Macaca fascicularis: one gene and its partners. The protein of the gene in region 2 purifies or fractionates together with the protein of the main gene of each other region. This does not show direct contact. Links are inferred from orthologs where the notes say so. Each region holds a gene or a part of one and is shown on either strand. Other genes may lie near its edges.

Region 1 (5,487 bases), on a different chromosome or scaffold from region 2:
CTTAAAGAATTTCAAAAGCTTGGTTTTCAAATAACAAGAACTCAGACTACTCTTGGTTCAATTATGAGTTGATAAGTACCTTGTGATTAAATGACCATTAATCAATTTTTAAATTTTTTTACTAATGAATATACTGCAGATTAGTATCCCCAAACAATCCATTTTCTGATGAAACTCTTAAAGCCCAGTTTCAGAACATAAGCTTTAAGCAACAAGCAATCTTTTGTTTAATCTGAGCTCTGTTACAGCTCTGCCTTAATCTCAGCCAAATTGCTTCATCTGTAGATGGTGATACCACCATCTTTGTAATACTGTGGTGAGGATTACAGATGTATGTAAAAGTGTGTGCACCGCCTAATACCCAAGAATTGCTCAATAAATGTCAGCTATTGTTACTCTTACTGACCTCCAACTATGTGCAGATTATGGTGGAAACATGTGATACAGCAAATACAGTACTTAAATGAAAATGTCAAAATTATACAACTAATTTAAGAGTGGGAAATGACAGTAATGCTAAATTTTCCTAAGAATATGTATGAAAAGTAGCACTTCCTTGATGGAACATACATTTTTAGAACAGAAACCTTATGTTATAATGGAAAAACTAGAGAGTCAAAGTCTCTAGTTCTAACTCTGGCTATGACCTTATCTAGCTGCATGGCTTTTAACAAGACAATTGCTCCCCTCTGGAGTTCAGTTTTGTCATCTGGCTGGATTTGAGTAATCTCAAATAATCTCTAAAGTCCTTTGCAGCTTTAAAATTATTTATTGAGTGTGATAAAAAATACATTAGCTTGTTTTTCATCCTGCACTTCATTTTTTGTTCTTCCTGTTATTTGCTTAATTTGCACTTTAGAGCCATAAGCAATTCACACAGACAACACAACTAAAGAACTAATAATATCAGACTTGCAGGGTAATCCAAAATGAAGTTTCAACAAAGAGGATAAAACAATAGAATCACATTGAACTCTTTAATAGGGCCAAAGTAAACCCCAACGTTTATTCTCCAGTCATTTCATTATTATATGGAAAATATGCCTGGTAGAATCTTATACATTCAGCTGAAATAGTCTCCATAGAAAATAATAGGCTCATAGTGAAATAAAATACCACTTTCTTTTCTCTCATCAGGTTGATCTTTAAATAAAGCAAAAATTTATTCAAGAAAGGGCTTTCATCAAGAAATTAAAGAGAGAAATTACAAGCAATAGAGAAACTGGGCATTTCTATACTAGAGAAACCACCTAAAACAACTGTATGGAGTAAGATGAAAGGTAAGAATATGCCTGGATGAAATTTTACCTAGTGTGACATTTTTGCCCATCTTTTTGTCACAAAAGGCTGCTAAGGAAGAGAGAATATAGTTTTCTAGAGAATAAGAGTACAGTGTAAAAATGGAAACCACAGTTTCAGAAATTCATGTAGAAAACAAGGATGAGAAGAGATCAGCAGAAGGTAGTCCTGGGGCTGAAAGACAGAAGGAAAAGGCATCCATGCTTTGCTTCAAGAGAAGAAAGAAAGCAGCTAAAGCACTGAAGCCCAAAGTTGGCTCTGAAGCTGCTGATGTGGCAAGGAAGTGTCCCCAAGAAGCAGGAGCTTCTGATCAGCCAGAGCCCCCACAGGGGGCCTGGGCCTCACTCAAACGTCTTGTAACACGCAGGAAAAGGTCAGAGTCTTCAAAGCAGCAAAAGTTATTGGAGGCTGAAGTGCAACCTGCAATAAACACTGAGGATGCTGATCTTTCTAAGAAAAAGGCAAAATCTAGACTTAAGATTCCCTGCATAAAATTCCCAAGAGGGCCAAAAAGGAGTAATCATTCCAAAATTATAGAAGACTCAGACTGCAGCATCAAAGTCCAGGAAGAAGCTGAAATTTTGGATATACAAACACAGACCCCATTGAATGATCAGGCAACAAAGGCTAAGTCAACCCAGGATCTAAGTGAAGGCATCTCACGGAAAGATGGTGATGAAGTCTGTGAATCAAATGTGAGCAATAGCATAACTTCTGGAGAGAAAGTGATTTCAGTAGAACTTGGATTAGATGATGGGCATTCTGCTATTCAAACGGGAACTCTAATCCTTGAAGAAATTGAAACGGTCAAGGAAAAACAAGATGTTCAACCCCAGCAAGCAGGCCCACTTGAAACTTCAGAAACAGACCATCAGCAAATAGTACTTTCTGATGTTCCACCTTTACCTGCAATCCCAGCTCAACAAATTATGGAAGAAGCCAGTAACAATATCCTAAAAAGTGCACCAAATGGGAAAGACTATGAAAGTAGAGAGATTGTAGCTGAAGAAACTAAGCCAAAAGATACTGAATTGAGCCAAGAATCAGATTTTAAAGAAAATGGGATCACTGAAGAGAAGTCCAAATTAGAAGAAAGCAAACGAATAGAGCCCATTGCTATTATTATTACAGACACTGAAATCAGTGAATTTGATGTTAAGAAATCAAAAAATGTCCCTAAGCAATTCTTAATTTCAACTGAAAATGAGCAAGTAGGGGTTTTTGCTAATGATAATGGTTTTGAGGATAGAACTTCAGAACAATATGAAACACTCTTAATTGAAACAGCCTCTTCTCTTGTCAAGAATGCTATTCAGTTGTCAGTAGAACAGCTGGTTAATGAAATGGCCTCTGATGATAATAAAATAAACAATCTTCTACAGTGACTTACTCTCCAGAGTCATGGCAGGAAAAACAAGCTTAATGAAGAATTATTTTATACATTTGTGGCATTTCTTACTCAGTAACAAATGAGAGATTTATCATCTCTAGAACTTAAAAGGTACAATTCCAGCGCAGAAGTGCTAAAGATTAAGTCAAGTTTATAAAACTCTACCACTGAAATGCAGTCACTTCTGGATTGGAGGAAGTCAGCACAGATTGCAGTATAAAGTGACATAACATACAGGGAGTTGCTAAAACGGCATATGGAGATTGGAGTGCTTTGGGGGAGGAAGATGTATTTATTGAGCACTTATGGTATGCCATAAGCTTTTTAATGACCTCTGATATAACAAAGTCTGGTTTCCTTTTGATAATTCAGCTGTGTATAGGCTAACATCACATTGAGTTTTTAAAAACTTATTTTTACAGTGCACATATATGTTGTTTAAAATGGTGAATAAGGTGAGCTACTTTTGTGAATGTGATTTGTAATTGTTACATTCCTAAGCAGTAGGCTTAACTCAAAAAATACATTGCATTTTCCCAATTTCAGCAGATAGTGTGCAGAATACGCATATTGAAATTAAACGTGAGTGGTTTTCTAGTCTTAAGTCCCTTATAAGAGCTATTTGGCCGGGTGTGGTGGCTCACACCTATAATCCCAGCACTTTGGAGGCCAAGGAGGGTGGATCAGCTAAGATCAGGAGTTTGAGACCAGCCTGGCCAATGTGGTGAAACCCCGTCTCTACTGAAAATACAAAAATTAGCTGGGCGTGGTGGCGTGCGCCTGTAATCCCAGCTACTTGGGAGGCTGAGGCAGGGGAATTGCTTGAACCCGAAAGGTGGAGGTTGCAGTGAGCCAAAATTGCACCACTGCACTCCAGTCTGGGCACCAGAGCAAGACTCCATCTCAAAAAAGAAAAAAAAAAAAAGGAGAACCATTCACAAATCCTTCAATCAGGCAAACTGTTACTAAGTGCAAAAGTGTAGAAACAAGGAGTGGGTTTTCCCTCTCTTCTTTCTGCCTCAACAGATCTGTATATATCCATTTCTGCATGGATTTATCTGTGAAAAGTTAAAAAACGAAACAGCAAAAACAAAACAAGTGGAATATTATTCTTCATCCAGAAGAAGGGAAAATTCCCAATTAAATTATCATAGATAATATAGGATTCATCTTGCAGAATTACTTCTTTAAGAGCCATATTCATCAACCTCTCTCCAAAGAGGCGAGAGTAGATTCAAAGCCAGGCTGGTAGTAATGGTCCTGGAAAATCCTAATAATCTAGTGCAAATATTATTTATTTTTGGCCAAAAATGAGCCATGAATGTGGGTGAATAGAAAGTGAAAAGTTAAAGCACATTATAATTTAAATGTCAATATTACTTCCTGTCTGTGTGTTGAGAGAAACCAGTAAAAATCATTTTACATGGATATTGACAATTAACTTTTTCATCACTATTTTCCTTTCTTTTCTTTTTTTGAGACGGCGTCTTGCTGTCACCCAGGCTGGAGTGCAGTGGCGCGATCTCGGCTCACTGCAAGCTCCACCTTCTGGGTTCATGACATTCTCCTGCCTCAGCCTCCCAAGTAGCTGGGACTACAGGCGCCTACTACCACGCTAGGCTAATTTTTTGTATTTTTAGTAGAGACGGGGTTTCACCCTGTTAACCAGGATGGTCTCGATCTCCTGACCTCGTGATCCTCCCGCCTCGGCCTCCCAAAGTGCTGGGATTACAGGCGTGAGCCACTGCACCCGGCCTTCATCACTATTTTCAATCCAGATATACTTTACAAAAATGAGAAAGGCTTATTTGCATTTTTATTTACATATTGAAAGGGAAGCATCTGATCTCATCAATGATTGCCATATTTTTTGAAAAAGTAATCCTATTTCAATCTTTCCTTGTGTGAAATGGCCATAATACCACAATGCACTTCCCTACCTCACAGGTTAGGATTCAAAGTGTGTATTCCCCCATTGTGTAAATTGAGTGATTATGTTACTACTTGAAACAGATGAAGTAATAAAGATGAAGTACGAGATGTAAGGTATTTGTTCAAGAGCTCCATGTGGAGGAAAGAATGCAAATTAGATGATTTTAAATGATCTGGGTGAATTCTTGCATTGTGTATGGATTGCATATAGAAAGTATTTGCAGGCCGGGCGCGGTGGCTCAAGCCTGTAATCCCAGCACTTTGGGAGGCCGAGGCGGGTGGATCACGAGGTCAGGAGATCGAGACTATCCTGGCTAACATGGTGAAACCCCGTCTCTACTAAAAATACAAAAAACTAGCCGGGCGTGGTGGCGGGCGCCTGTAGTCTCAGCTACTTGGGAGGCTGAGGCGGGAGAATGGCGTGAACCCGGGAGGCGGAGCTTGCAGTGAGCCGAGATCAGGCCACTGCACTCCAGCCTGGGAGACACAGCGAGACTCCGTCTCAAAAAAAAAAAAAAAAAAAAGAAAGTATTTGCTATTTTGTCCTACAGAATCAGCTTCGTTTCTTTCTGTAAATACATATTGAGACCTCTATCAAAAGAAATTAATCTGACTTTGAAATTGAACCAAATCATGGATATTATTAGCAAGATTCTTTGCTGAAGTGCAAAAATATTTCCCCCAGATTTTCCTACCTTCACGCTTATAATCTTGGGGGGGTGGAATCCTTCAATTTAGCAAGATGAAAAGTGTGTCATTCAAAACACATGACCCAAGAAGTCAATTTCTTTTAATTGTACAACTTTTAAACATAAAAAAAAAGACGAAGTCATCTTCTCTGAAAACACTATTTAACTCACTATATA
Region 2 (6,246 bases):
AATGGATAAAGAAACTATGATAGAATACTATGCAGCCATAAAAAAGAATGAATTAACACATTTGCAGTGACCTAGATGAGATGAGATTGGAGACTATTATTCTAAGTGAAGTAACTCAGGAATGGAAAACCAAACATCATATGTTCTCACTGTTACGTGGGAGCTAAGCCATGAGGACACAAAGGCATAAGAATGATATAATGGACTTTTGGCACTTGGTTCGGGGAGAATGGGAGGGAGGTAAGGGATAAAACACTACAAATATGGTGCAATATATAATGCTCAAGTGATGGATGCACCAAAATTTCACAAATCATCATTAAAGAACTTACTCATGTAACCAAATACCACCTGTACCCCAATAACTTATGGAAAAACAAAAAATATTATAACCAAAAAAATTAAATTTTGAAGGTCTTTTCTTTCTAGCTCAAAAGTTTTTATTTCAAGTATTTTCTCACTGAAGAATTCTAAGTAAATGTTTCTTAAAGATGCCATTACTACCAAGATTTAGAGTATGACCTATAAGTTAAAACATAGCCACAAAGATTAAACATTGTGATTACAAAGTATTAGACATTGTATAACATGAAACAATAAGAGAGGTAAGGAAGATAACGTATTTTTATAATACAAATAAAAGCAATGAAAAAAGCATAAAGAGCAGAAACACATATTCTGTTGTCTGTTAATAAAATTTGTTTTCATTATTTGGTTGGGACTATGGTGAACATTTTAATCCACCTATGTTGATAAAACCTAAACTTAAATATTAATTCAGTCAGAATTAGAAGGGCTTTTTGTGTTGATAAAAAAATCTTATAACTACTTGAAATTATTTTAAATTTTAAGCTGCAAAATCAAAATATGATGAAAACAAGTTATAAGTGAAACAGAATTGCCTGCTCTCTGTAATGATCCAACAGGAAGCTAAAATGGGTCTCAAAAGGCAAGGTTTGATTTGAAATACAGATAAAATCCAACTACAGTGAACTGTAATACCTATACAGATTCCTCACTGGATAAAGAATCATATTGCATCACATTTTTCTCAAGCTAAACACTATATACTGGGCCTTCAGAATATTTTTCTGATATTTTCATGGAGTTCTTTGCAATGAAACCTATTAAACAAAAGGGTTAGCAATTACTACTTGTTGCTATTTAACACATAATTTGTTCCTAATAATTTTCATTTTGTTGTGGCAGGAACAAATTTAATAGATTGATGCCTCCAATTATTTGCTTCTGCTCTGTAGTCAAAGCCAAACAAAGATGTTTCCTTATAACAAAACATCTATTCAAGAAAAAAAGAGTCTGATTATTGTTCTGGGATGCTGGCTTTTGGTTCTTTGTAGAATGAGGAATTCTTCTTTCCTTATTGTTATTGTTTTAGATAATGCTGTGGTTTTATAACATAAAGAGAGAAAGCCACTAGGCTCTCTCATGCTGCTATTATCTTGTTCTATAAGCTTATATAAAGACAGAAATGAAGCAAGACTGATTTCTTCACAGGTAACTTTAGTGAAAGAGCTCTGATCCCTCAGTTTATCTATTCATTACAGTTATTTGCAAGTGCATTAAGTCTGTATGGCTTCTATGACTCTTTGTCAGTATGCCTCTGGTCAGTTTGTAATTATTAAAATATGAAACTCATTTATCGGAAGTTCAGTACTAAGATTAAAGTCCAATACTAGAAATGCATATTGGAATATAATCCTTAATATTTCAGCTGAGGCTCTTATTTCCTCCTATTACTATTATGCTCTGTTTTCCAATACATTCTGTCCTCAGATATTAAATCCCTTCTTGTTCAAAGGGAAAAATAGAATCGATAAACTGGAATCTCAATAGCCTTTTTGTATTGCTTTTAAATGGATAGTTATAAATGGGATTATCCATTATGATTATGTATTATTAAAGCATTTATAATTCCCATAGTGTTTTTATGAGAATTTTAAGTTTTATTTATGTATTTACATATAGAATAATGCCGGACTTGAAGATTTTGAAAGGAAAAAAACCCTTGGAACAGGTTCATTTGGAAGAGTCATGTTGGTAAAACACAAAGCTACTGAACAGTATTATGCCATGAAGATCTTAGATAAGCAGAAGGTGAGTGTATTTGTTGTTATTTACTTTCAGGGTAAACTTTAGTTTTATCAGCCAGACTATTAAACAGATTCAGTATAATGACTTACCATTGACACCTTCAAATAATTATATTATTAAATTTAATTTTTATTCCTATTTTTTGTAACTATATGATGCATAGTTAATATACATTCAGCCTTTCCATATCCATGGGTTCCACATCCATGGATTTAACCAATCACAGATTGAAGATATTTGGGAAAAAAATTACATCTATACCTAACATGTACAGACTTTTGTTTCTTGTTATTTTTCCGTAAACAATACAGTGTAACAACCCTTTACATAGAATTTAAAATATATCAGGTATTATAAGTAATCTAGAGATGATTTAAAGTATCTGGAGAGTGTGTATAGGTTTTATGCAAAGCCTCTGTCATTTTATATAAGGGATTTGAGCACCTGGGCATTTTGGTTTCTGCTGTAGGTCCTGGAACCAACCCCCAGGGATACTGATGGACAACTGTAATTTATTGTGACAATTATGGACTAATTTGTTTTCTAACTATTACAGAAGTTAAAATGTGTACAGTAGTGACCAAACCACTTCATGTTACAGATTTTGAAAACCTGAAGCCCAAAGATTTGAAAGCATCTCCAGAGTCAGAAAGTTAGTTAAATAGAAGGCCTAGATTAAAACACAGATTGACTCCTACTCAATTTTTTTGCTCAGTATTATCAGTATACTCCTAATTTTATATATTAATACCTGGCTGCTATCTTTAATTACTTTTCTTATTTATGTTTAACTTCTTGACATCTGTGACTGTCCTCACATTGACCATTAGACTCTGGCAAGAAAGTATGCCACCTTCTAATGATTTACACATATAAAAGAAAATTATTTATATGTCTTGCTAAGGTCACCACTTTTAAAATTCAAAATAGAATCACATATGGAATAGAATTACAATCTTCGTGAAGTCAAGATAAATTACTTTCCCCTTCTATTGAATAGAAAATCTAGAGGAAGCCTAAGTCTGAATGACCTAGGATACAAAGATAGTTTTTGTTAAAAAGGTAGTTTTTTCCCCAATATTTTGTGCATCCTCTTCTATAGCGATATAAAATAAACTTTTAGAATTTATACCTATATTTATTTAGATATTATAAAATGAAAATTGTTCATTTTTACTCACTATTTTTCAATTATGGGCTTTCTCTTCATTCTTAATTTTCTTATTCATCTTCTGAAGTATTTAAAGTCAGTATCTAGTTATTGCAGAGATTTGAGCCAGCTTTTACAGAGGACTTTGAGTGATTAGGACGTTAGTATTTTCACATTAATTTTTAAATTACTTTAAGTAATTATATAGATATATGTTTATTTAAGTATAATTGACATAACTAATTTTTAAAGTAATTTCTTATGGGTTTGTTTCTTATTCCTACTTAGCTCTCACTTCTTAATTGAAACTGTAGTTGATCTTCCTAAGACCAAGTTTTAAATCCTCTCTTAGGTTTTTATTTGAATCCTGTTATTAAAAGTAATGGCAAAAACCACAATTACTTAAGCACCAACCTAATAGTTGGTAATTGTTATTCTCTTCCTTATCCAATTCTAACAATTTTCCTTATCCAAGTTTATTACATTTTTTAAGTGATAACTTTTTGATTTTGCTTAAATACATAAAAGAAATATTTATCTCTCAATTACAGGTTGTTAAACTGAAGCAAATAGAGCATACTTTGAATGAGAAAAGAATATTACAGGCAGTGAATTTTCCTTTCCTTGTTCGACTGGAGTATGCTTTTAAGGTAAATTTTAGTAATATCTAAATAAGATACTTTCAACCTAATATGCTTTTTTTAAGATGAAACTATAAATAGGATTCTAAACCAGATGATAAACCTAAAAAATATAAATAAACAAAACAAATACCTCTCGAGTTTGTGTAATTAAATCCTATTGTGCTTATAACTTAGGTAACATTTGAAAAGGTTTTGATTCTCCCTGGAGAAATTGTTCAAAGGTGATACATGCAATTCTTCATGAGATGGTATTACAAAAAGAATTACTCCAATTTATCAAAAACCATAGGGATATCTTATTAAACAATTCTTATGCAAATTCATATACCCAACACATTTTCTACTTTTATTAAGCCCTTTTTGCCAGTATCTCATCTTCTTTTACTTAGTAATTTGAGTTCTAGTCTTTTTACTTATACAAAGCTGAATAATTTTTGTTCCATTATTTAAGTGTCTGAAAAATTGTATAAGAGTTATTATTTAAATTGGCCACTTTTCAGCTCTTCGGAATGATACTGGCATCTTTCTGCAATATTTAATCATATGAAACATTTTAATCTTTTTTCTCCTTTATTCTTTAAATTAAATTAAGACCTATGTATTTAAAATATTAAAACCATTAATCTTTTATACATAAAGTGTAAATATTCTTACTTTTTCAAATTGTTTTTTAACTTTGTTATTCTTTTGCATATATTATAGCATTATTTCTTTGCCTGAGTGTTTAATTGTTCAAGAACTAGATGTTCTCTGCAAGAAAAGGAAGAGCAAAAGTCCCAGACTAATTTGTGGCAAAAATAACTAGGAGGGGAAAAATATGAGTGTCTCTGTATAGAAAAACTAGAGCATGTTCCATTTATTCTTTATTTCTCAAAGTTATTAATCTGTCAGAAAGATGTTAAATTTTTCTAATTCAACATGGTATAATATTGAAATAATTTTGACCTAAGTTGAATAATTGTATTTCCTTTTTATTTGTTCATAGGATAATTCTAATTTATACATGGTTATGGAATATGTGCCTGGGGGTGAAATGTTTTCACATCTAAGAAGAATTGGAAGGTTCAGGTAACTAATGCTTTTGTCTTCTTCAAATCTTTATAGGCTTGTGTTGTTTAACCAGATTTTTAAGTTGATGCCAATATCAAAAACTTATTTTGTTTGATTAATATTTTGGCCATTTGAAGCATTAGGTGGAAACAAAGAGGCCACATCATACACAAGTTTTAAAATTCAAATAAAAGGACTTCGAAGCCAATTTAAATGTTATACTATTGGTAGATATTGTGAGGGTCCACTACTTGAATAGTTTTCAGAAAATGCAAAAATTAATTGAATTTTAAAATATCAACATTTATTAAACAAATATTAATACAACTCTAGGACAGAGGATTGTTTTAAGGATGAAGATGGAAAATAAATATATAGAGAAATAATAATAATGGTATTATGGTAATAAGATTATAAAAGTTTGTTTTTCACAAATTTAATTCTCCTTAAAGTTCTTGCAAAGTTTAGTTTTTAAAATACATACATAATTTAACAGGAGTTTGTACCTCATCAGGTTATGACTAATAAGATCTCACAGTTATTAAAATAGGTTATAGAATCTGATAGTTTTGCCTGTACGTAATAGTTTGTAAGCTTCTACTATTCATTAATAATCACTAATAGAATAAAGCTAAAATAAAAAACAGATACAACTTCATTCAGTATAGTATGTTGAAGTCAAAAATGTAGAGACAAATCTCTAAATTCAACATTTTATTGAGGAAGCAAGAATTGCAGTTTGAGGCATATACACAGACTAGGTGGTCTTCAATGTGTCTACAAAACAAAGAAAAGGTTGGAGGTTTTATAAAAATAAATTTTATATTTATTTGTTTGGAAACAAAGTTTACTAGCACTAGTTAAGTTTTGGGGAGCTGGCAAGCTCTGATTGGTGAGTGACGGTGGGGGGTCAAACTCGGCTAAGAATTGCAGTAGATTGTCTCAGTAGCTGTTAGAGAAAACTGGTTTCAGGTTACAATGGGCAGTTTCAGCAGCTAGGCTTGTGGAAAATTTAATTCTTTTTTTTTTTTTTTTTCTGAGACAGTCTCCCTCTGTTGCCCAGGCTGGAGTACAGTGGTGCCATTTTGACTTACTGCAACCTTTGCCTCCTGGGTTCCAGTGATTCTCTTACCACAGTCACCCGAGTAGCTGGAACTAGAGGTGCCCGCCACCACATCCGGCTAATTTTCATATTTTTGATAGAGACAGGGTTTCACCATGTTGGCCAGGCTGGTCTTGAACTCCTGATCTCAAGTGATCCACCCTCCTTGGCCTCCCAAAGTGCTGGGA
Region 3 (6,246 bases), on a different chromosome or scaffold from region 2:
TCAGTTTTCGTATCCTCAAACGCCTGCATCTCCACGGTGTGGGTCATTTCACTTTGAGGACGAAGTAGTGAAGTCATATGCAAAAGATTTGTCTGAATCTGTAATACAGGAAGCGTTCATTGAGCTATCACAAGTTGATGTGACCTTTACAACAAAGGCAGCAGTTAGTGTCTCTACGGATAATATCAAGTATGTGAGTGCAGAAAGTGTAGTGCCATCAACACAGGCTGTCACGTTTTCCCCTTCTTTTCACAATCAAGCAATTATGGTGACAAAACCAGTGCAGGAATATAAAAAGGAATACACAGTGCAGCAGGCCTTGTTTTGTACTTCTGGAATTGTTACTTCTATACCAGTGCCCTTGGCAGGAAGTGCCCTTCTCCCATATCATATTTCATCTACTGCATGTCAGGCAAAGGCTCATCTGTCATCTGATGATAGTAATTCAAGTGGTGATTCTACCCAAGTGCATATTGCCACAAAAAACAGAGAAGAAAAAGCAGCTTGTCTCAGAAATATTTGTTTACCTTCAGAACACAATCCAGGTAACGAGAATGATTTTAAACCAACTAATGATCTTGAAATGCAGAGTTCCTCAAAATTACCAAGTGATCCTGCAATTATTAGCAACTTTTCTGCAGCAATGGTGCATACGATAGTAAATGAAACTTTAGAGTCAATGACATCATTGGAAGTTACAAAAATGGTTGATGAATGTACAGATTATTTAACTAAATCAATAAAGGGGAAAACCCCTCCCTTTTCCCACTGTGGTCAGGCAGTGCTGCAATGCAGTGAAGCTAGTAGCAATAAGGACATGTTTGCTGACCAGTTACCTAAATCTATTATTAAACATTCCATAGATAAGAGCAAATCAATGATCCCAAATATAGATAAAAATGCAGTATACAAGGAAAGCTTGCCTGTTTCTGGAGAAGAATCACAGTTGACACCAGAAAAGTCTCCCAAATTTCCTGGCTCTCACTGCTCACTTTCAGCTGGAAAGGATTGTGTTCCAGAATGTAAAGTTTCTATGGTTCATGGATCCTCCCTAGAGACACTACCATCTTGTCCAGCTGTGACAGGTCAGAAATCTGACTTGAAGGAACCTGCTAAGGATCAACCACTGAAAAAGCATAACTTGAATAATACATCACTTGAGTCTTTGTCTTTTGGACAGGAAAACCCCTTTCCTCATTCACATACTTTCTCATCTACAGCACTTACCTGTGTAGATGGTTTGCACGTGGAAGATAAACAGAAAGTCAGAGACGGAAATGTAATACCTGATACTCCTCCATCAACTCCTCTAGTACCATCCCAGGCTAGTTCTGAATGGGATATCAAGAAATTAACAAAAAAGCTCAAAGGAGAATTAGCCAAAGAGTTTGCACCTGCTACACCACCTTCTACTCCACACAACTCATCTGTTGGTAGTTTGTCTGAGAATGAACAAAATAGTATAGAAAAAGAAGAGTTCATGTTGAAACTCATGCGATCTCTTTCTGAAGAAGTTGAGAGTAGTGAAAATGGAGAGCTCCCTGAAGTGGATGTGAAGTCAGAGCACTCAGGGAAGAAGGTTCAGTTTGCAGAAGCATTAGCTACACACATCCTTTCTCTTGCAACTGAAATGGCAGCTTCCCATTTAGATAATAAAATAATTCAAGAACCCAAGGTTAAAAGCCCTTGCTTAAATGTGCAAAGTCAAAGAAGTGTGTCACCTACTTTCTTAAACCCCTCAGATGAAAATTTGAAAACATTGTGCAGTTTTGCAGGTGATCTGGCAGCAGAAGTCATTACAGAAGCTGAGAAAATAGCAAAAGTTCGAAGTTGTATGCTTTTCAAGCAAAAGAAGAACAGATGTTATGCTGATGGTGATCAAGATTATAAAGTAGAAGAGAAGTTGGATATAGAGGCTGTAGCGCACCCAAGAGAAGTGGATCCGTTTATTCTTTCATTACCACCAAGTTCTTGTATGTCAGGTCTGACGTATAAGTATCCCAGCTGTGAAAGTGTGACAGACGAATATGCAGGTCACATTATTCAGATACTAAAACAAGAAGGTGGTAATATTGAGTTGATAATGGATCAGTATGCCAATAGACTTGCCTACCGATCTGTTAAATCAGGATTACAGGAAGCAGCTAAGACAACCAAAGTGCAGTGCAATTCAAGAATGTTCCCTGTGCCAAGTTCACAAGTGAAAACAAACGAACTGTTAATGTTTTCAAATAAAGAGCACCACCAAGAAGCAGACAAAAAAAGACAAAGTAAAAGAAATGAAGATTACTTTTGTAAAAATCAAACTTGCGAAAGGACCCTGGATCCATGTAGAAATGAGTGCTCTGAACTGTATAGTTTTTCAGCCTCTTTCGTTCACAGCATAACAAAAGATGCTAAAGAAGAGCTGACAGCCTCTCTAGTTGGCCTACCAAAATCCTCAACAGATTCTTGCTTGTTCGAAAAATCCGGATGTGAAGGAGATAAAGAGTGTCATGTTAAACCAGAATTGCCTAAGTCTCTTCAGCCTTCCTCGCAAAGTCACAGATTTTACCACAGCACTGGCAGTTTAAATGGATATGGTTGTGGAGACAATATTGTTCAAGCTGTAGAAGAGTATGCCAAAAAAGTAGTGGATGACACTCTAGAGCTAACTCTAGGATCTACAGTGTTACGAGTGTCTGAGACCACAAAATCAGCAGACAGGGTCACTTATGCAGAAAAGTTGTCACCTCTTACAGGTCAAGCTTGCAGATATTGTGACCTTAAAGAACTCCACAATTGCACTGGAAATTCATCTCAGAACTTTTTCAGACAGGGTTCTCTCGCCAGTAGTAAGCTAGCTTCTAATCCAAAATTTAGCAGCCACTATCAGAAATCTAGGATTTTTCATCTCAATGTCCCTCAGATTCATGTTAATCTTGATAAGAAGGCAGTGCTTGCTGAGAAGATAGTTGCTGAAGCCATTGAAAAAGCTGAGCAAGAGGTGAGCAGTGTCAGCCTGGCAGCCGACAGTGGGATCGGACAGGAGGGTGCCAGCTTTGCTGAAAGCCTTGCCACAGAAATCATGACAGCAGCTGTCACAAATGTTGGGCATGTTGTTAACAGGTAAGTTTCATATTTCCTTTGGTTGTTAATGATAAATGAAAAAGTTAAATGTGATCCTATATGTCTTAGGTCCTGCTCATAAAGGAATGATTATTTTTAACCCTACATAAACAAAAATTTTCCCTATTGCATTTATGTATTGTTTCACATCCTACACATGACTTTTATATATTTTGGTCCCCTGATCCCTTTTGAGGGAAGGTGTTATCCATTTACAGAGCTGGAAAATGAGAGTTGGAGAAAATAATCACCTTATCCAAGTTCATAGAGCTATGAAGTAGGTAAAGTTGAATTAAATAAATAGCTAGAGAATTTTATATAGTAGTCCCCCCTTATTCTCAATTTTGCTTTCCTCAATCTGAAAATATTAAATGGAAAATTCCAGAAATGAACGATTCATAAGTTTTAAGTTGCATGTTCTGAGTAGCATGATGAAATCTCACACCGTCTCGGGATGTGAATGACCCCTTTGTCCAGTTTATCCACACTGCATGTGCTGTTCACCTGTTAGTCACTTAGAAGGTATCTCAGTTATCAGATCCACAAACCTGGTATGTACAGGGCTTGATGCTATCTACAGTTTCAGACGTCCACTGGGTGTCTTAGATCATATCCCCCAGGGATAAGGGGGGACTATCCTATAGTAAATGTAGAATATTACCATATTAATTTACTATTCTGAGACTAAATTTTTGTATACCTTTCTTCATTCACAAGGGTAAGTTTTCTTATAAAGACCATGGTTTAATCAAACTGCTCTGAGGAAGAAAGCGAAAATTCTTTACATACTTATACCATTTCTCTTGATTAGTTCACAATCTAAGGGGACAGTTCTTTCTGGTAGTCCTACAGTGTCCTGTTTTCAGTAGTTATCTCTTGTGCTTAGTGATTCTTTTTTTTTTTTTTTTTTGAGATGGAGTCTCACACTGGTTGCCCAGGCTGGAGTGTAGTGGCACAATCTCAGCTCACTGCAACCTTTGCCTCCCAGGTTCAAGCGATTCTTGTGCCTCAGCCTCCCTAGTAGCTGAGATTACAGTCACCCACCACCACCACGCCCAGCTCATTTTTATATTTTTAGTAGAGACAGGGTTTCACCAAGTTGGCCAGGCTGGTCTCGAACTCCTGACCTCAGGTGATCTGCCCACTTCAGCTTCCCAAAGTGCTGGGATCACAGGCGTGAGCCACTGTTCCCAGCCATGCTCAGTGATTCTTTAATAACAACTTAGAGTTTTTCACTTTAAACCTTCTTTGTCCCTGAGAAGATATCAGGACCAACTTGTGTTATTAGTTGATAGGATGATATTTGTAAGTCCTGCTGGAAAGAGAAAATGCTTTAAGTTGAGGTGGAATTTAATTGAGTCACATGATATTCCAGATTTTTGAGTAGCTTCTGTCAAAGCCATGACATGATCTGCCTCTTTTCTTATCCATCTTAAAATAGGGAGATCCAGCTTGACCAGGATTCTTGAATCCAGTTGCTTCATAGCATCTACTTGAGATGAGAGATGCTGTAGGTTTCTGGTGAATTAGGAGAGGTCTCTATTTGCCCTAATCAGGCAGCCTTCTTTCTTTTTTTTTTTTTTTTTTTTTTTTTTTGAGACGGAGTCTCGCTCTGTCGCCCAGGCTGGAGTGCAGTGGCCGGATCTCAGCTCACTGCAAGCTCCGCCTCCCGGGTTTACGCCATTCTCCTGCCTCAGCCTCCCGAGTAGCTGGGACTACAGACGCCCACCACCTCGCCCGGCTAGTTTTTTGTATTTTTAGTAGAGACGGGGTTTCACCATATTAGCCAGGATGGTCTCGATCTCCTGACCTCGTGATCCGCCCGTCTCGGCCTCCCAAAGTGCTGGGATTACAGGCTTGAGCCACCGCGCCCGGCCTGGGCAGCCTTCTTTCTACTAGACCAGGGGTTGGCAAACTACAGTCTGTGGGCCAAATGTGGCCTACTGGTGGTTTTTGTATGGATTGCAAGCTACGAACAGATTTCATGTTTTTTTTTTTTTAAATGGTTGAAAAAAAATCAAATGATATTTTGTGACGTGGAAATTATATGAAATTCAAATTTCAGTATTTATAAATAAAGTTTTATTGGGACACAACCATGCTCATTCAATTACATATTTCTGTGGCTGCCTTTGTGCTATAATGGCAGAGTAGAGTAGTTGGGACAGAGGCTGTATGACCAGCAGTACCTATGTACTTCCTATCTGACCTGTATTAGTTCATTTTCACACTGCTATAAAGATACTCCCTGGGACTGAGTAATTTATAAACAAAGGAGGTTTAATTGACTCACAGTTCTGCATGACTGGGAAAACCTCGGGAGACTTACAGTCATGGCACAAGGCAAAGGGGAAGCAAGTACCTTCTTCACAAGGCAGCAGGAGAGAGAGGGGGGAGCTGCCAGACACTTAAAACCATCAGCTCTCATGAGAATTCCCTCACGGTCATGACAACAGCATGGAGGAGGCTGCCCTCCTGATCCAATCACCTCCCACCAGGTCCCTCCCTGGGGGTTACAATTTGAGATGCGATTTGCGTGGGGACACAGAGCCAAACCATATCATGCCCCTTATAGAAAACAGTTGTGAACCTCTGTCCTAGATCCACATTTTCTTGTTCACTACATACCAGTTCCTAGTATGATGATAAACATAATAAATGGTTAATAAATATTCTCATGAATAGGTAATAAGGCCTTTTAACAATTGAAATAATTTTCCTCTTACAGGTTGCTTCAGGCTATTTTACTTTTTACTTCTCAGTCCAGTCCTGTCTGCCCTATGGCCCCATCCCCCTTTCCTCCCAGCCTCCCGGGAGGAAAAGAGACTGTCCTCTGAAGTTTTTCAGACATCACTCTCAGGGGCTAGCAAATGCCTTTCTCATTGGTTTTCTCAGTAATTTCCACTTTTCCTTCTTAGAGTTGGGTGAGTAGATAGGCCCCTAAAGTTCTTCCTTGTAAGCTAGTGCTGCCCACTTTCAGCTTTTTATTAAGGCTGGAATAATTCTTTTCCTGCTTCTCTTTTTAATAATTGTGCTAGGGTTCTGTAAGTACTGACTAAGGGAAGTTGACTCTAGTGTGTAGAGTTTACTGTTTAACATTTTTTATTTCTAAAGTTAAATTTGTCTTTCAAGCTTGAA
Region 4 (6,246 bases), on a different chromosome or scaffold from region 2:
TTTTCAAAGAATAACACACAAAAATTAAATTGTTAAATATTTAAAGTATTAATTAAAGTGACATAATCTCAGTTTTGTTTAAAAACCATAGGGTGCCAGATGAGAAGGAAATAAAAGTCTTTCACAGTCACTCTCAAGGGTAGGATTAGAGCTGATTTTTATTTTCTGCATATATTTCTATACTTTTCAAGTTCTCTAAAATATGGATTTATGCTTTGCTCAATTATAAAATACACTTTACGTTGGAGCACTTGAGCAGAGCTCAGTGAAGGGATTCTGGCTGGCCTCCACGGCCTCAGTGTTTTTTTTCCAAATAGATCTCAGCCCCAGAATATGCAAGAACCACCCCCAAGGGAGAGACACACAGGCCTGCAAGTTTGAGAAGTACAAGAATAAGATGCTCCTGGAAGCAGCCAGAGGAATTCCATGTTGCAGGAAGCTCTCTGAGCCTTGGCAAAGTGTAGTGTGTCCTCTCCCCGCAGCCTTTGGCTGACCCAGGGCTCCTTCTGGTTTACTGTCCCTCTCCCAGCTCCCTCCCCCAGGTCTAACGGCCCTGGCCCCAGGGAGCTTTGCGGGTTACCATGGAACCAGCCTGGGGGACTCCACCCCTACCTTTGGCACCTCGATCTCCCAGATGATGAGGTCGACCTTCTTAGGGTTGGAGCCTGCCTGGGCATTTTGGAAGCTCTCAGTCTTCTTGAGACTGCAACAGCTATCCACGGAATCCATGCTGTTCCTGTCAGAACCTGCAGGGGAGGAAGCAGCAGGCGCGCGCACACACAGACCCCAGCTCAGAGCAGCCAGTAACCCAGAACTTCCCAAACTCACATTCCCGGGAGGCCCTGCCCCACACCCGCTCCTCAAGCTTGGCAGGTGACTGTCAACTTACAGTCTAGAAGGCTCAGAACAACCCCAATGAAAGGAGGACTGGGGGTGTCGATACACCTAATTTTAGCCTGCCACTTACAGTCCCACTTGCTTAATTGGGAGCCGCACCCAGCCACAGCTGCTGGAGCAGACACACAAGTGGTGAACTGGGAAGGGACAGACTGCGCCCAGGGAAGGGGAGCCCACAGGGCAGAGGAGGAGACATGATTGAGGTCCACATGGTCCTGAGAGCCAGACCGATGGACTGCAAACACCTTGACACCCTTCCAACTATCCTACCCTCTCAGTCCAAGGGTCGGTCTCCTGTCCCCAGGGCCCAGTTCCAGGGTCACAGGTACAGGCCTTCAGCCAAGCAGAGCTAGACAAAGTCCTCATTGGCCTGCCTGAGGGCCCCATTCTTATACCCAGCGGGGACCTGCTCGTTCCTCTGCCATATGTGGACAAAAAAAGGAGAGTCTCCTTTCCCTTTGCTTAGGCCTGATTCGTGCAACTCTGAACACTCTTCTGGCTCAAATACTCCCTTGGTCAAAAGACGGAGCCAAAGCTCATGGCCAAGAAAACCCAATGGGAAAAGGACTCTGCTCCCGACCTGGGCTGTTTCACTCTCGCTCAAGAGTGTGCCAAAGGGACTGTCACAAAAAAGAGGGTCCAGATCAGCTCAAGAGAAGTGGCCCTGGCTTAAATATGGATGACTCAATCACCAGAAAGAGATCACTCCTGAGAGTCTACCAACTAGGTTACCTTCCACATGGTTTCTCCAAACCCTGGGCATAATCCTTTGCCAAGTAACCCATACACTGGATGCAGAGAACTAAGGCCCAAGAGATCCTGCTCCCAGCTAAGGAAGAATCACCTTCAAAGTGACATCCCCCCTTAACCTAGGCGCTTGGAACAGGATTCATGCAGGGAAAAGTACCCCTTCTAGGGGAAGACTGCTTGGCTAGGGAAGCATAACAGGCTGACAGGGGTTGGGGAAGGGGGCGGGGAGCTCTGCTCACTCACAGCCCCCAGCCTCTGTCCCACAGAATGGGACTGGCTAACACCTGCCATCTCGATGGCGCCCAGCAGTGGCTCAGAACCACACCAGGACTCTAGCAGGCTGCACTCCAAGGCCAGCTGCCAGCTCCCTCAGTAGGGTGGTCCCTGGACCCCTCTCAGCTTCAACTTTCTCACACACAAAGCAGAGCTGACATGAGGGTGCATGCGAGGCACTACCCTGGTGCTTGGCACCCACTGCATGCTCGTGGACAGTATTACCTCATTTCCACCCGCCATCTCTAAACCTCCCTGCCCATCACCATGGCTTAGGTTCAAGCCTAAACTCAACAGGTCTGAGTAGCTACTACTATCCATCTAGAGTAGGCAGACAAGGCTGTGGGGCTTGTTAATTCAGCCGAGGGGCAGTAAGCAAAGGGAAACTCCTTTATTCTTAAAAAATAAATAAAACAAAAAACACCCATTTTAAGATGCAATATTTTAAGAAACATTTAAACATCCAGAGATTAGGATGCATCATATAGTATCTGGCCTTCTATAATCATGACTGGCAGCACTTTTGTCCTTCCAAGGTACATAAAAACAGTAGTGTCGCAACAGCATCTTGGAGGTGACAAAACGTAGTGTGTGGTACAAACGAGATGCTGCCGAAAGTAGTAAAATTCCCGATCAAGATTCCCAACCTTCCTGGAGCTGAAATGGGAGGGAATGGCTCCAGGACAAACGTCAGAGAGGCACTGGGATACTCGTGGCCTCTCTCCATGAGATAAATGAAAACACCCCGGGGCGGCTGCAGAAGCAGGGTCAGGAGCTGCTGACCTGTAAGTTAGCGGTCTGAACTGTCTACGCTGGGGTCAGCACTCGAAAAACCCAGGACACCTCGTTATCAAAGTGCCCCGCTTTCCCGGGGTGGAGCTGCAACTGCACAGAAAGAAAATGGCTGAGGCTCTCTGCAAAGGTGACAGCGACAACTCAGGAAGCTCGAGCCTCCCACAAGTATTTAAAGCTGTGGCCATTCTTTGGGCACTTACCCTGTAAGAGCTTCTGGAGAAGGAAAGCAGGTGAAGACATGGGAACAAGCACATGATTAAAAGGAAATAAACCATTCAAAACACTCACACCCATACTTGGCACTCAAGGGAGGGAAAGCTAAGGAGACCTCTCCATTAAAACACACACACACACACACACACACACACACACACACACACACACAGAGGTTAGTGTTTAAAAAAGAAAAAAATGGGCTGGGCATGGTGGCTCACACCTATAATCCTAGCCCTCTGGGAGGCCGAGGGCGGAAGGATCACTTGAGCCCAGGAGTGCGAGACCAGCCTGGGCAACACAGGAAGACTCCATCTGCACCCAAATAATAATTTTTTTAAAAAAAGAAAAAAAGGCACACTAATGTTAATCAGTGAGCCCAACTTGGAGCTGGTTCCTTGGGAAGGGCTCACTGGGGAAGGTCACCGGCTGAGGAACCAAGTGACAGCTCCCAAGGCTTGGGGTTTCAGGGCAATCTAACTGCTCAGTTACCCACCAGCTTTATGCCGTGTCCAGCTCTCTGCAGGTTGGGACAAAGAGCTGAAGGGCACCATGACTTTGCTGCACAAGTAGCAGAAGGGAGAGGCAGACTGGCGGCCTTTCTCCAAGAAATACTGGGAGCGCCCCATCCTCTAAATGAACCCGAGACCCTCCTACCTCCTGAATGATCTGCTTCCACATCCATGGTCCATCCATCCTCAGCCCCCAAGTCTGACAACTCCCCCTTCAGTACCCCATTGCTGAAGGGCACAGTACTTTCTGGCAGTGGCGGCGTGATGGCCTTGTCTCTAGGGCTTGAGCTGGTCTCTGTGCAAGAGTCTTCAAGCCCTGAAGTGCTGAGAGAATCCGAGCAGTGTCCTGGGGAAGCCACCAAAGGGACACTTTGGCTGCTGTCTGACATGCAAGTGACACATGTGGCATCTTCCACCAGGATGCCCGCCCGGTCCGGCGACTCTTCACCAGGAGTGGTCGGTGGCAGGCAGGGGGTCAAGGAGATGTGGTGTGCAGAGATCTTTGGTTTACTGTCCTTGATGGGGCTGGACAGAGGGCTGTTCAGGCAGCTCACGTAGGTCTTTGGTGGTGCTGAGCCCTCTGCTGGTAGGCCTGGCGAGGGGAGGGCAGCATCCGACAGGGCAGCAGCTGCCTCTGCTGTGGCAGGTTCCCCAGTGTCGGAGCCCAAGACAGTTTGCTGGTGAACTGGGACACAGCTCTCTTCCTCCTGCCCTTGGAGCTGACTGGCCTGATACACACAACCTGTAACCTTGCCCACCGCGGTGGCCAGCACCTGTTCGGTTGCTTCCGAGATCACTTGGGAGATTATCTGGAAGGCAGCCTGCTCAATCTCCTCATTTCTATCCAAGCCCTCCCCATTTCTATCCAAGCCCTCCTCATTTCTATCCAGACCCTCCTCATTTCTATCCAAGCTCTCCTCATTTCTATCCAAGTTCTCCTCATTTCTATCCAAGCTCTCCTCATTGCCCAGTTCTCCCTCGACATCTCTGTCCTGGGCTTTGGCATCTGTGATTGGGGGTGCTGGTGCCGCATCGTCCTTTGGCAGCTCTGTGTGAGCCGACTTGATGAACCTACTTGGCAACTTCTCTGCTACATACTCTTCCTCCTGCACCGGCCCCACCTGGGATGAGCTGCTCTTCCCCTTCTCTTCTTCCCCTTCTAAAGAGGCTAGGTTGGGGGCCTTGCTGTTCTCCAATTCCAAGACATGCTCCTGAGACAATAGATCTTCTTCAAGCACCTTTTCCCCCAACACAGCATCACCGGTCCCTTCGGCCCCACCTGTCTCTCTTGCCCTCTCCCCAGAGCCATGCTTCTCTGGGGGCGCTGCAGGGTAGCCTGGCTGGCCCCTTCCTGGCACCCTACTGAACGGGGACTCTTGCTTACACACCTCAGCTGATTTGTGGGGGAATAGTACACCCTTTGGAGATGAAAGGGGGCACTCTAGAGGAATCAATTTGGTTTCACCACCTGTCAGGGCTAGCTCCAGCTTTGCACTGTTGTCTCTGCATGTTCCTGGTCGCAATCTCATGTCTATGGTATTAGGAAGACTGCCCGAGGACTCTGATCTTCGGCGAGGTGGGTGTGCCCGGAGCAATGCTGGTGGCTCTGCAGGCAGCTTGCTCATGGTGGACAGTTCCTTTTCTGGCGGCTCTGTGACGCTGGGGGGCATGGACACCACTTCGGGACAGACGTCTTCCATGGGAAGAGGTTCTTTGATGGCAGAGTCAGCCCTCAGCTGCACAGCACCAGCCTCCACCTGCTCATCATGGCTGCTGACGTGGCCTTTTTTACGAGAGAAAAACCACCACCAGCCGAGAAGTGCCAGCATCCCAGGCAATGCCAAGGGGAAGAGCGAACGGAACTGGATTGCCATCCTGCAGGCTTGAAGTAATTACACCTGGGGAGAGCAGGAGAGTGGGGAGGAAGAATGTCACAGAGCCAGGTAGGAAGATACTGGCAACTGCACATGCAAGACAGTCAACAGGGTAGGGCCGAAGCCATCTCCCCCACCTTCCCTGCCCTCCAAGAGGAGCACACTCTCAGCTTGTACCAGTCCACCCTCTGTGTGATCCACTGGGGGTCGGAGGCCAGGAAGAGGCATCTTCCCCTCCATGCTCCCCAACTCACACACCCTCTTGAAACAAACCAAGCATTCTGTTCTTTAACCCAAATTCCTCCCTCCATCACTTCATGATGCCAAAGTCTCCCTATGTTCCCCAAAGGGGCTGGCTCTGCTCAGTGTGGCTCAGCTCTCTAAACTCACAGAACATTTTTATCTATCAAGTGGCATCGGAGCATTTCAAACCCCCATGGAATCCACATGTACATGGGTTCCTCACATCTCCCCACAAAATGAGTCCATGAAATGGCACTTCATTACTCAGCAATTAGAGATGCTGAGAATGAAGGAGGAATAAAATTTCAAATGGCTAAGGAGATGCTCCAGGGTGAGGGACCAACACAGCAAACTGCAGCATGAAGGGCCAGGTCAGACTTGGAGGACTCAAGTACAGGCGGTCCCTGATCTTCCAAGGCTCAACTTAGAATTTTTCAACTTTACAATGGTGTGAAAGCAATACCCATTCAATGGAAACTATACTTCCAATTTTGGATTCTGATCTTTTCCTGGACTAGCGATATGTGATGCGCTACTCTCTCACGATGCTAGCTCCCAGTCATCCACTCTATCACAAGGGTGAACATCGGGCATCCAGAGTGGATCGTGCTGCTAGGTGATTTTGCCCAACTGTAGACTACTGTGAGTGTTCTCAGCTCGTGTAAAGTAGGCTAGGCTAAACTATGGTG

What was found.
Region 1: the proteins of PRKACB (region 2) and AKAP5 purify together in Homo sapiens (affinity purification with mass spectrometry; 4 studies listed by BioGRID and IntAct, counting the BioPlex papers as one, with this or other methods). This does not show direct contact. The link is inferred for Macaca fascicularis from reciprocal best matches to the Homo sapiens genes PRKACB and AKAP5.
Region 3: the proteins of PRKACB (region 2) and AKAP11 purify together in Homo sapiens (affinity purification with mass spectrometry; 5 studies listed by BioGRID and IntAct, counting the BioPlex papers as one, with this or other methods). This does not show direct contact. The link is inferred for Macaca fascicularis from reciprocal best matches to the Homo sapiens genes PRKACB and AKAP11.
Region 4: the proteins of PRKACB (region 2) and AKAP1 purify together in Homo sapiens (affinity purification with mass spectrometry; 4 studies listed by BioGRID and IntAct, counting the BioPlex papers as one, with this or other methods). This does not show direct contact. The link is inferred for Macaca fascicularis from reciprocal best matches to the Homo sapiens genes PRKACB and AKAP1.

The regions. Positions count from the first base shown.
Region 1 is NC_088381.1:132,283,870-132,289,356, forward strand, and holds the end of AKAP5 (A-kinase anchor protein 5), read left to right. Parts: intron 1-1,137; 5' UTR 1,138-1,400; coding exon 1,401-2,684; 3' UTR 2,685-3,445; downstream 3,446-5,487. UniProt on the Homo sapiens protein: Multivalent scaffold protein that anchors the cAMP-dependent protein kinase/PKA to cytoskeletal and/or organelle-associated proteins, targeting the signal carried by cAMP to specific intracellular effectors.
Region 2 is NC_088375.1:150,453,115-150,459,360, reverse strand, and holds part of PRKACB (cAMP-dependent protein kinase catalytic subunit beta), read left to right. Parts: intron 1-1,412; exon of another isoform or gene 1,413-1,446; coding exon of another isoform or gene 1,447-1,515; intron 1,516-1,986; coding exon 1,987-2,115; intron 2,116-3,813; coding exon 3,814-3,912; intron 3,913-4,891; coding exon 4,892-4,974; intron 4,975-6,246. UniProt on the Homo sapiens protein: Mediates cAMP-dependent signaling triggered by receptor binding to GPCRs.
Region 3 is NC_088391.1:21,592,256-21,598,501, forward strand, and holds part of AKAP11 (A-kinase anchor protein 11), read left to right. Parts: coding exon 1-3,108; intron 3,109-6,246. UniProt on the Homo sapiens protein: Binds to type II regulatory subunits of protein kinase A and anchors/targets them.
Region 4 is NC_088390.1:49,608,982-49,615,227, forward strand, and holds part of AKAP1 (A-kinase anchor protein 1, mitochondrial), read right to left. Parts: intron 5,339-6,246; 5' UTR 5,315-5,338; coding exon 3,586-5,314; intron 2,806-3,585; exon of another isoform or gene 2,704-2,805; intron 747-2,703; coding exon 613-746; intron 1-612.